Linked DNA regions of Ovis aries. The protein of the gene in region 2 binds, or shares a complex with, the protein of the main gene of each other region. Links are inferred from orthologs where the notes say so. Each region holds a gene or a part of one and is shown on either strand. Other genes may lie near its edges. The genes, in order: CRYBG1, PPP2R5C and PPME1.

Region 1 (3,643 bases), on a different chromosome or scaffold from region 2:
GACCTCCGTCTCCCCGGCCGTCCAAGAGGTGGGGGAGCGGCCCCCTCTTGTGCTCGGGCTTGATCTCAGGCAGTAGCGAGCTGCTCTTAACCGTGAGCTCCCGGGGGATGACCCGGGCCGCCTCCTCCCCGCTTTCCTTGGCGGCCGGGCTGGGGCCGGGGTCTGGCGCCTTCTTGAGAGGGGAGTCCTTGGCCGGAGCCCGCGGGCCACCGGCGGGCGAGGTGGGCACGGCCTCGGGGACGCGGCTCCGGCCCCTCCTCTTGGTGGGGGACGAGGTGGGCGGCGGCTGTTTGCTTCGCTCCGGCTCCCCTCGGAGCTGCCCTTTGGGGCTGGGGCTGGGCTTGGACTCGAGGCCGGCAGCGGAGGCAACGCCCCCATTGGGGGCCGCCTGCGGAGATTTCACTTTCTTTTCTGCACAGCCGTTCTCGGCAGCCGCGTCTGGCGCCACCTCGTCCTCGAACACCGTGTCGTCCCGGGGCGCACAGTCGGGCAGCGGTGGGTCAGCGCCGGGGGAGTCGGTGGATCTCTGCGACCGCCTCCGTCTCCCAGACCTGCGGCCGCTCGACCTCTTTTCCATGTCGTCGCAATCGCCGCAATCTTCCGCCCCGGGGCTGATCACGACCGGCTCGCCGACCTGTGCCACCTCGGTCTTACTCAAGTAGATGTCCAGAGTCAGCACTTTTGCTGGGTGGGCGCGCTCGCGGGGCCGGCAGTCTTGCCCCGGGGACTCGGCTTTGCCATTGACTGGTGCTGAGCCCGCCCGGTTCTCCGAACCCTCGGCGGGAGGGTCGCCGGGCGAAGCCGAAGAGTCCTCCGGGACTTGGCTCAGCACGCCCTGGGGCTCCGGAGAGCCTCCGTGGACACACACGAGGTGGGGCCCTTCGGCGGTATGCTCCCCAGCGGGCGAGCCCCGCACGCCCCTCGATCCCTGGGTGGGCTCCTGCTCGCTGCCAGCGCCGGGCGAAGCGTCCTCCCCCGGACTGCGGATGAGCGCCTCTGCGCTCTCCCGCCTGGAGGAGTTCTCTAATGAGGAACGCAGCTGCTTGGCAGTGGCGGTGGCATCTGGGAAGGTCTCTCGCTCTGCCTCCAGAGGTTCTAATTGGGGTGAATCACTTTCACAGCCCTGCTGCACAGCCGCCGCTGCATGGCTGCCCCGGCCAGGTGATCGTGTGGCGTCCGGGGGGGCTGCCTGCATGCAGCCCTCGGGGTGTTCACCCTCCGGCTCCTGGCACTTCTCCTGTGGGGAGCCCTCCTCGCACACGTCTGTCGGCCTTGGTTGGCCGCCCAGAGGTTGACTCTTCTCAGTCTCCCTTTCTGGGAGTTTGGAAGAGGTTACTTCTTTGGGAGAGCCTGGTTTGGCATTTGAGCTGGTGGGACTCTCTAACCCATTTCTGCTGTTCCTTCTCCTTCCGGCCGTGAACAGAGTGCCAAGTTTCCCCAAAACTGGCTTCCTTTTGTTCTCTTCTGGTGGTTGTGCTCTGGACTGAAAAATAAAAGGGGATGGGAGACACAGATGTGAGAATCCTGCTTTTCCTATTAGTATTAATAGTAAGTACATTATGGAACTACAAGCCAAAATAGGCTTGAGTTTCTAATTGAAAGCGAGAGTTACATTTTCGCATTCATTCCAACAAAATAATTTTTTTTCACTTTTTGAATTTTTCTCAAACACTATTTCTGCTCGGTGCTACCGAAGAGTAACATTTCCTTTATCTATAGAAGGAAAATCATGAGAGAAAATTCGGAACGTCCAAATAATCACACATGCAAAATAAATAACTCCCAGTTCTGTTTTGCTTTATACCTCAGTTAGTCACTCAGTAGTGTCCGAGTCTTTGCAATCCCTTGCACTATAGCCCACCAGGCTCCTCTGTCCATGGGATTCTCCAGGCAAGAATACTGGAGTGGGTAGCCATTCCCTTCTCCAGGGGATCTTCCTGACCCAGGGGTTGAACCTGGGTCTCCTGAATTGCAGGCAGATTCTTTACTGTCTGAGCCACCAGGAAATCCCATAAAGATGTAATTCCAAACAGCCATGTCTGCCTATAGGGCAGCAGTAAACATGCTAAAGTATGTTAAAGTGGAATTCCCCACCCCCCTCCCCCCAAATACCTCCACTTCTTTCTTTAGGCAGGAAGAAGAACAAGGAAAAACAGTCTTCTCTTCCAGAACAGAAAGAAGCCACTTTGGGTTCAACTGAAAAACCTTAAGAAATCGAGTTCAAGTACGTGGGTGTGCCCCCAGCCAAGTCGGAGGTTCTCAACTGGCCAGGCCGTGCCCGTCCAATGGGAGAAGCAGGTGGACATTCAAACATCTGCTGGTCCCCAGGGAACACAGCTGGCCACTGCCCAGCTCACCCAAGAGGCTGTTGCCCGTGGGGTGTTCCTGGGTGTCAATATGGGGGCAGGTGCTGGAGGGAGGGCAAAGGTGCAGGGTGACCACGTTGTAGGTCCCCCGCCATGCGTCACGGAGGACAGAAGAGCGCAGGACTCTCCCACGCTGACCTCGGCCAGGGATCGATTCCTCAGCAACCCAATGGGCTCGGGGTCCGACCTATCCATGGGAAGGGAACCACCTCCCCCCCCACAGCCCCCACCACCTGCGAGAGCCGCCCAGTGCCCGTGCCCATAAAGGGGAAAACCCGTTCCTATTCCATAGCCTGGGGCAAAACGGCCGGCGCCTGCACTGGAGCGGGAAGCCAGGAGCCCGCTCAGAACAAATCAATAAAAGCAAATCCGCCAATGGGCGCCCAGCGAGCGCAGAGCTGGTAGCCAAGGGGCCGGGCAGGCAGGAAGAGGAGGCCCGCCTGCGGGACGGAGGGAGGGAGCTCAAGCGGGAACCCAGCCTGGCTCCCAGCGGAGGGAAGTCTATCCTGGTGACAAGCCCACTGAAACCCAACCCCACACACGTCTGGCTACAACAGATTTAATATTAAGATTACCTCTTTCACCTGAAACCCAGGAGCTAGCTTGACCCCCACCTTTCCAGAAAGGTGAACACACAGGGCAGTTTTTACATATTGACTGTTTACAAGAGAGGTTCCTGAATCACTCTTTAAAGCTTGCTCCATTTCATTTGAAGTATATGCAGCCAGTGGACTTTGGAGATGGTGGTAAACAAAAAAGACTAAGATAAAGCATGGAATTAACAGGGTCCACAAGCACTTACTGAGACAGCCCTGTTACTATATGCTGTGCTGTGCTTAGTCACTCATTCGTGTCCGACTCTTTGTGACCCCATAGACTATAGCCTGCCAGGCTCCTCTAGAATACTGGAGTGGGTTGCCATTCCCTTCTCTAGGGGATCTTCCCCACTCAGGGATCAAACCCAGGTCTCCTGCATTGCAGACAGATTCTTTACTGAGACACCAGGGAAGCCCCCTGTTACAGTAACATCATATAATTCTGTAACGGCAATGTGAGGTGCTTGTTACCCTACAGCCGAAAGGAGGAAAGGAAAGATCCAAGCTGAGAGACTTCAAGTATATTACGTGTGGGGGCAATATCAGGATTCAAGCCCAGGTCCTCATCTTCCAACCCCACCTCCCTCAACCCCACCCTACAGGATGGTGCAATGGGCACCCCTGAGCCAGAGTTAGCCCAAGAGAGTAGACTGCAGACCACACTTCCGACAGGAGCTCATG
Region 2 (3,548 bases):
GCCAGAAAACACTCGTGCCAAGTCAATCACTTGATAGCCAATAGCACACATCTCTGACCACTCCCGAGTGGCCAGCGTGCCAGGACCGCTGGCATGATACGCAAAGTATACTTCTCTGTGCTTTAATAAAAATATTCAGGGACTTGCAGAAACCATATATGAAAAGTGCCGTTTTGCAGAGCCGCTATTTCTCACGGTTCTTGGCAAGTTTACCTGTGAAGACCGTAATAATGTCAAGGTTTGGAAAGAGTTTTGTGTCATATCATTTTAGGACTGTTTCTAGAAATGTTATTTGGATATTAAGGTTCATTTATGGCAAAGGCAGGAATTCTGATTTTCTCTCCCGGAAACTGGTGTAAGATAGCTTCAGGGGCTGCCGATCAGGGTCACAGCCCTTGTAAAAGCGCTCTCATCAGTGAAGCCTAGTTTGCCTTCGACCCGGGAGAAACTCAGAGGGAAATTCTACCCTGAATTTTATGTCCATTCCATGCTGAGTTGTAAAACAAAGCAAAGCGAGGCAAAACAAAAGCCTTTCAGATACTTAAAATATTTAATAACTGCCGCCGACAGGCATTCCAAAGAGAAGAAACATTTTCATAGAAAAAGGCAGTAGTAAGAACCTGGGAGCTGGAAACCAACAAACGCAAACTGAGAAGGCAAACGTGACCGGGGAAGCTTCTGGAAGGAGAGAGAGAGAGAGAGAGAGAGAGAGAGAGAGAGAGGGACCTGCTGAGTCTTCCTGTGTAGCCATTTAAAACCAGGGTGTAAAGCAGAGAGCAGCTACACAAGCTACAAAGGTTAAAAAACAAACAAACAAAAAATCAGAAACATGGGAGGCAGGAGAGAGATGTCATGCAGATGGTCACCCTGGACGAGCGGCCCTGGTGGAGGGGTGTGCCGGCGAGCATGCTGTTGATGGCGGGGCAGACGAGACAGACGGGAGTGCTGCCCCGGACACCTCCCCGGAGACATGAGCCGGGAAGGTGCGGTCTCTGTCCGCTGTCCCCGGAGACGTGAGCCGGGAAGGTGCGGTCTCTGTCTGCAGCGGGGCAGCGGCTCTGAAAGGAAAAGCAGCTCTGAAAGCGGCTATTCGGGAAGTGGGGGGCAACATCGGGGTGGGTGCATGGAAAGAGTGCACGCTTCCACTACTTAATTCAGGACAGAACTCATCAGAGTCTCCTAAGGGACCAGATTCCTTTGTCTTCACCATCACAAGCTGGAATGACAGGGGAAAAAAAGGGAAAATACTTCATGTACACAGCATTGCCAGTTCTTTTCCTAAATATAAAAAAAAGCCTTATAAATACATTTCTATGTACTGGAGTAAGGAATACCTTCACTTCCCACCTTCCGTCTTTCTACACCTTCCTTAACTGCATGCTCGACACTGCTTTCCTCCCGACCGACTGTTAAAAATGAGAATTGCAAAACATTTTAAACGTCTCTGATATATGAATGTCATTCACATGAACTTCACTGGTTCTTTTTGGAGGTTCTACATAGGGTTACACAATTTTCTTGGAAGAAATACAAGCCACAGTTCTGACAGGTCAATACATAACTGAATTTCTCCCCAGAACCCCAACCCAGTACGTTGCACGGCCACTGGGGTCTCCTCCGCTGGAGAAGATTCTCCTGCGTGCACCTCACGTCAGCGGTGAGCCCACGTTCAAATTACTTCGAAGAAATGTCGAGTTATTTTGGAAAAATAAACCTAGCTGAAAATAAACTAAAAGGGGCAGTGACAATGTTCACATTACTAAATATAAAAACTGAAAAGCCTGGTTTTCAGCATAACCTCTTAAGTCAGTTTGGTCTCCAAATGAGGAATATAGATTTCCCCTGCATCTCAGCATCTTCTCTTTGCTTGAACGACAGTGTGTTTGAGGATTTCAGGACTATGGCTCCAAATACTTTCAAACTGACAAGAGCCTGTCATATCAAATATTATAGCTAAGAGACTGCACTATAAACTGCTTCATCTAGGTAGGTTGCTGTTTGCGGGGGGTGGGGGTGGGGGAGTTCAACTGATCCATAGAAATCCATAATAAGTCTTGAAATTGGGTGGTGTTAGTCTTCCAAAGTTTATTCAGAGTTATCTTAGCTATTCTAGGTCCTTTGCATTTCTGTATATGTTTTAGAATTAGCTGGTCAATGTCTTAAAAAAGAGAAGGGTGACTGTTGGGATTCTGACTGGGTTCTGTTAATTTGGGAGAGAACTGATACCTTAATAGCACAGAGGCTTCCAACACAGGAACAAGATCCATAGACACTTAAAGGTAGCATGAGGGGCGGGGAGGGGAGATTTTGTAGGAACGTCAATTACACAGAAAGCTCAGTCTTATAATCTAATTTCAAGAGTTTCATGAAAATAAACTGGCAAACCAAGAGCTCTCCGAGAGACGCCCTGTCTACACCCGGTGACTCAGGACTAAGGACTGGATGAGCAAAGAGGCTGCTTCTTTCTCCACCGTGGAGGGAGGGGAAGGAGACGTGCCCTCCACATGCCCTCCAGGGGCCGCTGGAAGATCAACCAGCTGGGAAGGAGCAGCCACCAAGGAAATACGAGAGCTGACTTTCAAAGGTAGTCTTTCTCAAGGCAAGAATGCTGTTTTTTCTAAATCCCCTACAGAGTCGGCCCTGAGTCAGAAATATACCCAAAGATCGACAATTATGTAATATGTTCATTACACTTTGGGAGGAGTCTATCCTTTTCCTGGGTTTAATTATCACGTCAAATGACGTCCCCAAAAGAAAACCCCTCCAGCCCTAAAATATTTAACGTATCAGGACTGGCTTGTAAGCTGTCGTTTTCCCTTTCTGTGTTTTTGGGCCTGAGTAAGCCAAAGACTACCGTGAGGCTAGACTGAAGACCACCCACGGGCAGGCTCGCTGCCAAGAGGGACCCTGACACGCACGTCCTCTGCCCGCCTGCAGTAATGATGCCAGCGCTCACGTTTCTAGCCCACCTGAGGCTGTAAAACTGAAACGGCAATCCAAGAAATGACTTCAAATTCCTTTCCAAGTTAAAAACAAAACAAAACAAGCCTTAGTAAGAAAATTAACACCCCCATAAGACTGAGAAAAAAGATAAAGGTTTTCATTGTTTTTCATTCAGGCTACTCATTGCTAAGAATATTGTGAGGAAAATGATGGAATCCAAACTGGATTAAGTAAAAAATGCATCACTGATGTTTTCCCACGGTAGTTTCAGTGTTTGCATCCACCTGCCTTTCCCTGAACCTGAGGTCAAGGGCTGGCCGGGCGGGAGGAGGCATGAGGGGGTCCGGCAGCCCTGAGAAGAGGGGGTCTGGGCCCGTGCTGCCCGGTGGGAACACAGTGCCGGCCACACACACAATTCCAGACTGTCTAGCAGCCGCGCTGAAAAGGCGGGAAGCAACGAGTGAAAATTACTGGAGTAACATTTTTTATTTAACCCAGTATATCCAAAATATTATCATTTTAACACCTGGTCAGTAACAGAAAACTATGAATGAGAGCTTCCTAGGTTCTCTTCTGTACATTAAGCCTGGGAGTCCCCCGGGTGT
Region 3 (4,425 bases), on a different chromosome or scaffold from region 2:
AAGTAAAAATTCAGGAAAATAAGCCCCTTGAGGAACACATAAAATTCACCAATATATGCTCTTCTTTCCACAGTACTATAAAGCAGCATCTTTCTAAAGAACTTTATTTTCCAGAATAAGCAGTTAACCTAAATTAAGAGGATCAAACCATCTATTTAAAGAGGTTAAAGTGAAAGTCACTCAATCATGTTCAACTCTTTGCAACCCCATGGACTGGTCCATGTAATTCCCTAGGCCAGAATACTAGGGTGGGTAGCCTTTCCGTTCTCCAGGGGATCTTCCCAACCCAGGGATCAAACCCAGGTCTCCCACATTGCAGGAGGATTCTTTATCAGCTGAACCACAAGGGAAGCCCTCAAAGAGGTTACTGCTGCTGCTGCTAAGTTGCTTCAGTTGTGTCCGACTCTGTGACCCCAGAGACAGCAGCCCACCAGGCTCCCCCGTTCCTGGGATTCTCCAGGCAAGAACACTGGAGAGGGTTGCCATTTCGTTCTCTAATGCATGAAAGTAAAAAGTGAAAGTGAAGTCGCTCAGTCGTGTCCGACTCTTAGGGACCCCATGGACTACAGCCCACCAGGCTCCTCCATCCATGGGATTTTCCAGGCAAGAGCACTGGAGTGGGGTGCCATTGCCTTCTCCGTTAAAGAGGTTAAGTTACTAACAATTAAGCTAATCAGTAGATTTTAGTACATGTGCTGCCCCAAGTGGATGCTAATCAGATTTTACTCTCTTAGCATTTTTCTTCAGTTCTTCATCTTCAGAGAACTTGTTTTGCCAAAACGAGAAGCTAAGCTCTAAACTTATCTGAAGCACATATGGTTATTAAAAGGCTAGTATTTTTATGTATTTTCACAGAAGAGCACAGGAATACTGAAAAACCAAAGTTTAGATTAAGAAAGGCACCAACTAAGATACATATTAACAGTAAATGCTACATTAATTTTATAGTCCAGGTTAATCTTCCCCAAATAATCTACCACAGATCAGCTTGCAGATCCTCCATGATCATGTTACAGCCCTACCTTAGTCTTCCAAAGTCAAAACAATCTTCATTTTACCTTACATGCAGCCTTCTGCCACCTCTTCGTACTGTGTGCGTTCACTGACCTACCTTTTACCTTCATCTGTCAAGGTTTTCTCATTTTTCTACTCTGACCCATGGCCAGGTCTCCACTTCAAGTTTTTGTTTCCTTCTCCGGTTTTTCCAACCATTCTCACTACCCCTCTACCCTACTGTTTTAATCTCCTTTCTCTCCATTCCTAGGACCTGTTTTCACAGCACTGTATCTCCTATCTTTGTCTCCTTTTTGGTAAGCTTTTGTACATGTTACTTCTTCAGAACCTAAGATTTTTTTTCTCTAGTCCTTATTCCAAGAATATCTATCAATCCATCTCTAGAATTCCAAACACACTCTTGATTACCACATACCTAAGTATTTTTTCTATCCCTTACAGTCACTAGTCTCCAGAATCCTGTCTGATTCTACAAACACACCTCAAAACCGACTACCTGATCAATTACCTATTTTCTAGCAATTACCTCTCCCAGGTGCAACTCATTACACTCTCTCTCCTACATCTTAGATCCCCCAACCCGGCCCAGTCATTCAACAACCTAAAATTCCAAATGCCAACACAGCTCCTCCCATTCGAGCAAACAGTGGTTTCCCTCAAAACATTTTAAGATGCTACTCTCAATACTTCACTGAGTTTTATCAGACCAGTACATAACTTCCACCAGACCTACCTGCCCTGCAAAAATCAATTGCCCAAATCTTCGTCTTTAACCTTTCCCAGACCTTCTGTCTGCAGTAAGCCATTAGTTAAACCCGTTTTCTACTCATTTCTCAATCTCTGGAGCCCACACTCACTCTCTAAATCCCTGCATGCTCTCTCTCATCACTCCTCCCCTTATTCCCTACCCTCACTTCTCAGCACATTCCTATCACCCCTACCCCTAACAGTCTTCCTGGCTATCCTATCACCCCTACCCCTAACAGTCTTCCTGGCTATGTTCTCCATCTTTCCTTAGGCCTATTACCCACACTTTCTCAGCATCCCTTAAGAGACCTAATCTCTAAGTCACTTGCTCACTCCCTGAATATGCCTCTTCACCTTTAGAAACTCTCTCCAGAACCTTCTGCTCCCTAGTTCTCTTTCCTTCTCCAACCCTACCTCAGGTGTCCCGTTTCCCCCAGCTTCTTTCTCACAGTTTCTCACAGAAACTAGATAAAGATTTACTCCTCCCAAATCTTTCCCTAGTTCTCCTCCTAATTTCCCTCAACTTTTCACTCAGTCATTTCTCATTTCCCTCAACCGTCCCTGGAAGATTTCCCTCCACCTTTGTCACAACTCTTTTTCCTTTTCTCAAGCCTCCACCCGTTCTTCTGAGGTGCCTCCTTCATCTCTTAAACTATCTTCTCAGCTTCCTCAATCTCTGCCTCATTCCCTTCTCCCTCCAATACTATTTGTCCTCTAATTTCCAGTGACTTGGCGCCTCCCCTAGTCCCCAGATCTGCCTTCTACTTCATGTAAAGGTCTCCAGGCCGCCGCCAACATTCTCTCAATCCTTAGCCTCCCTTGCCATGCCACTCTAAACGCCGAGAGCCACCATTCTCCAACGGTCGGGGCCTGGCCTCTAGGGAGAAGGGGTACGGGTCACGTACCCCATTCGCATCTTGGCTCCGCTCTGACTGCCCCCGCTGCCGGGTAGCGGAGGGCGAGAGGGCAGGCGCCCAAGATGCATACTCTTCTCGAGGGCCGACATGAAGGGGAGGCCGCAGGTAGTCGAACAGTAGCCGAAGCTTCGTCCCAAGCTAAGCGCGGCCCAACCGGTCACAGCTCACTCCCCTAGCGACGCCCTGTAGCCTTTAGACAGCACCCAGCTACCGGCAGCACCGCCCACCGGCTCTGTAAACTCCACCCCCTCGCCCCAGCACTTCCACCGGAAGTGCGCAGCAACACTCCACAAAGGGTGCTGGGTAACGGAGTCTCTGACCCTTCAGACCCCTACCGGAGAACTCCACGACCTTCGCCGGAAAGAGAAGCGCTCCTATGTACCCTGGGCAATGGAGTCCGCAAAGAGCGCGTTCTGCGCTTGCGCAGTTGGAGGCGACCGCGTTCAACCCTGCAGAGGTAGCGTAGCAAAGCATCCTGGGTGTTGTAGTCTACTGGTAGGAAAGCGTCTTGGCGCCTTCTTTTCCCGTCGCTTCCCAGAGACTGTTAAAGAAAGAACCACTTCTTCCTGCCTCCCAGGCTGCCCAGCGGCGCCGGTTGCTGGGGAACGCCAGCGCCCTGGGAAGGGATGGCGGGAGGCTACAGCTTAGGTGCTGGAGCCGTAGTTGAGTTGGTGAAGAGCTCGGGGTCGTCATGAAGCAACGGAAAGCTCAGGGGCCTGGGGGCGGCCGTAGCCGCAAGAAGAGAGGTAATCTGGACGACCAAAGGTGGAAGAAAGCTTAGTTGGGCGATTGGGCGGAGTTCGGGGAGCGGGGCGCTAGGCATTCTAGGAAGACCTCCCACAGCCGCCTGTTAAAAAAGGGGGGAAGAGGATTGCGGAGGGAAAATAAACCCAGGGCATCGGAAGGTTAAAAGAGTGCATTTGACCCCCCCTAGAATGGAAACGGTATAGGGTCTTGACTAGGGGACAAAGTGGGTGAATAAATGGAATGAGGGGAGGGCTAAAAGGAAATGCTTCCAAAGGAAGAGAACAAAAAAATTGTAGGTTTTGTTTTGGCTTTTACTTTTTAAAAATTGAGGTATAAGTAACATATAACATTATGTTAGTTTTAGGTGTACGTTTGGAGTGGATATTTGTATATATTTCGAAATGATTGTCAGTTGTCTCGTTAGCATCCTTCACCATACATAGTTACAATTTTTTTTTCTTTTGCAGAGAACGTTTAAGATCTACTATTTAGCAGCCTTCAAACACACAGTACACTACCATTACCGTCACCAAGTGTACCTTAAATCCCCGTGACTTAGGAATGTTTTTGATAAGCGTGTGAGGGCAGGAAAAGGGGATGTAGAGCTTTGCGGGTCCGTATGGGACTGGAAGGAAAACAAGTTGGAGAGTGTGTCGGTAATCCTAATAGGCAAGAATCACGTTTTAGGCCGTAGCGAATCCCCCCAAACTAGCACACAACAGAACTCGATAAATGTTAGTTGAATGACTGAGGTGTGAGGCAATCATGAATCATGAAGGGCTACAGATGGGAGTAGAGAAAAGCCAGTTACAGAGGAGAGAGAAAGAAAGACTGGGGATTGACAGTGTGATAGGAGGTGAGGGTATGAAGATCTCTGAAGGATTTGAGATGGTGAAAGTGTTTAACAGGACTTTATCAAGTTAGTCCACTTAAGGAGACCAGGGGAATGTTAGCTTCAGCAAGAACAGTCACCCTAGGAACCCAGGGCAGATCAGGAAAC

What was found.
Region 1: the proteins of PPP2R5C (region 2) and CRYBG1 are in contact, whole or in part, in a crystal structure (PDB 6VRO), measured with the Homo sapiens proteins. The link is inferred for Ovis aries from reciprocal best matches to the Homo sapiens genes PPP2R5C and CRYBG1. Residues at the interface, in NP_002710.2 of Homo sapiens: Lys183, Thr184, His187, Tyr190, Gly191, Leu194, Arg197, Ala198, Arg201, Glu226, Ile227, Ser230, Ile231, Asn233, Gly234, Phe235, Ala236, Lys240, Glu242, His243, Pro265, Gln266, Tyr269; in NP_001358171.1 of Homo sapiens: Pro1136, Phe1138, Ala1139, Met1140, Pro1141, Pro1142, Ile1143, His1144, Glu1145, Asp1146, His1147, Glu1149.
Region 3: the proteins of PPP2R5C (region 2) and PPME1 are in contact, whole or in part, in a cryo-EM structure (PDB 7SOY), measured with the Homo sapiens proteins. The link is inferred for Ovis aries from reciprocal best matches to the Homo sapiens genes PPP2R5C and PPME1. Residues at the interface, in NP_002710.2 of Homo sapiens: Asp180, His187, Arg188, Tyr190, Gly191, Leu194, Arg197, Ser230, Ile231, Gly234, Phe235, Ala236, Lys240, His243, Asp313, Gln341, Tyr348, Glu353, Tyr354, Glu399; in NP_057231.1 of Homo sapiens: Arg37, Lys38, Arg39, Asn192, Lys217, Val251, Glu252, Gly253, Ile254, Ile255, Glu256, Glu257, Pro345, Gln346.

What each region holds. Positions count from the first base shown.
Region 1 is NC_056061.1:30,725,493-30,729,135, forward strand, and holds part of CRYBG1 (beta/gamma crystallin domain-containing protein 1), read right to left. Parts: intron 1,484-3,643; coding exon 1-1,483. UniProt on the Homo sapiens protein: May function as suppressor of malignant melanoma. It may exert its effects through interactions with the cytoskeleton.
Region 2 is NC_056071.1:64,443,680-64,447,227, reverse strand, and holds the end of PPP2R5C (serine/threonine-protein phosphatase 2A 56 kDa regulatory subunit gamma isoform), read right to left. Parts: coding exon of another isoform or gene 3,474-3,548; exon of another isoform or gene 3,414-3,473; intron 1,407-3,413; coding exon of another isoform or gene 1,359-1,406; exon of another isoform or gene 1,335-1,358; intron 1,217-1,334; coding exon 863-1,216; 3' UTR 532-862; downstream 1-531.
Region 3 is NC_056068.1:52,286,412-52,290,836, reverse strand, and holds the start of PPME1 (protein phosphatase methylesterase 1), read right to left. Parts: upstream 2,873-4,425; 5' UTR 2,768-2,872; coding exon 2,667-2,767; intron 1-2,666. Other genes in the region: C2CD3 (C2 domain-containing protein 3), read left to right, coding at 3,370-3,424. UniProt on the Homo sapiens protein: Demethylates proteins that have been reversibly carboxymethylated. Demethylates PPP2CB (in vitro) and PPP2CA. Binding to PPP2CA displaces the manganese ion and inactivates the enzyme.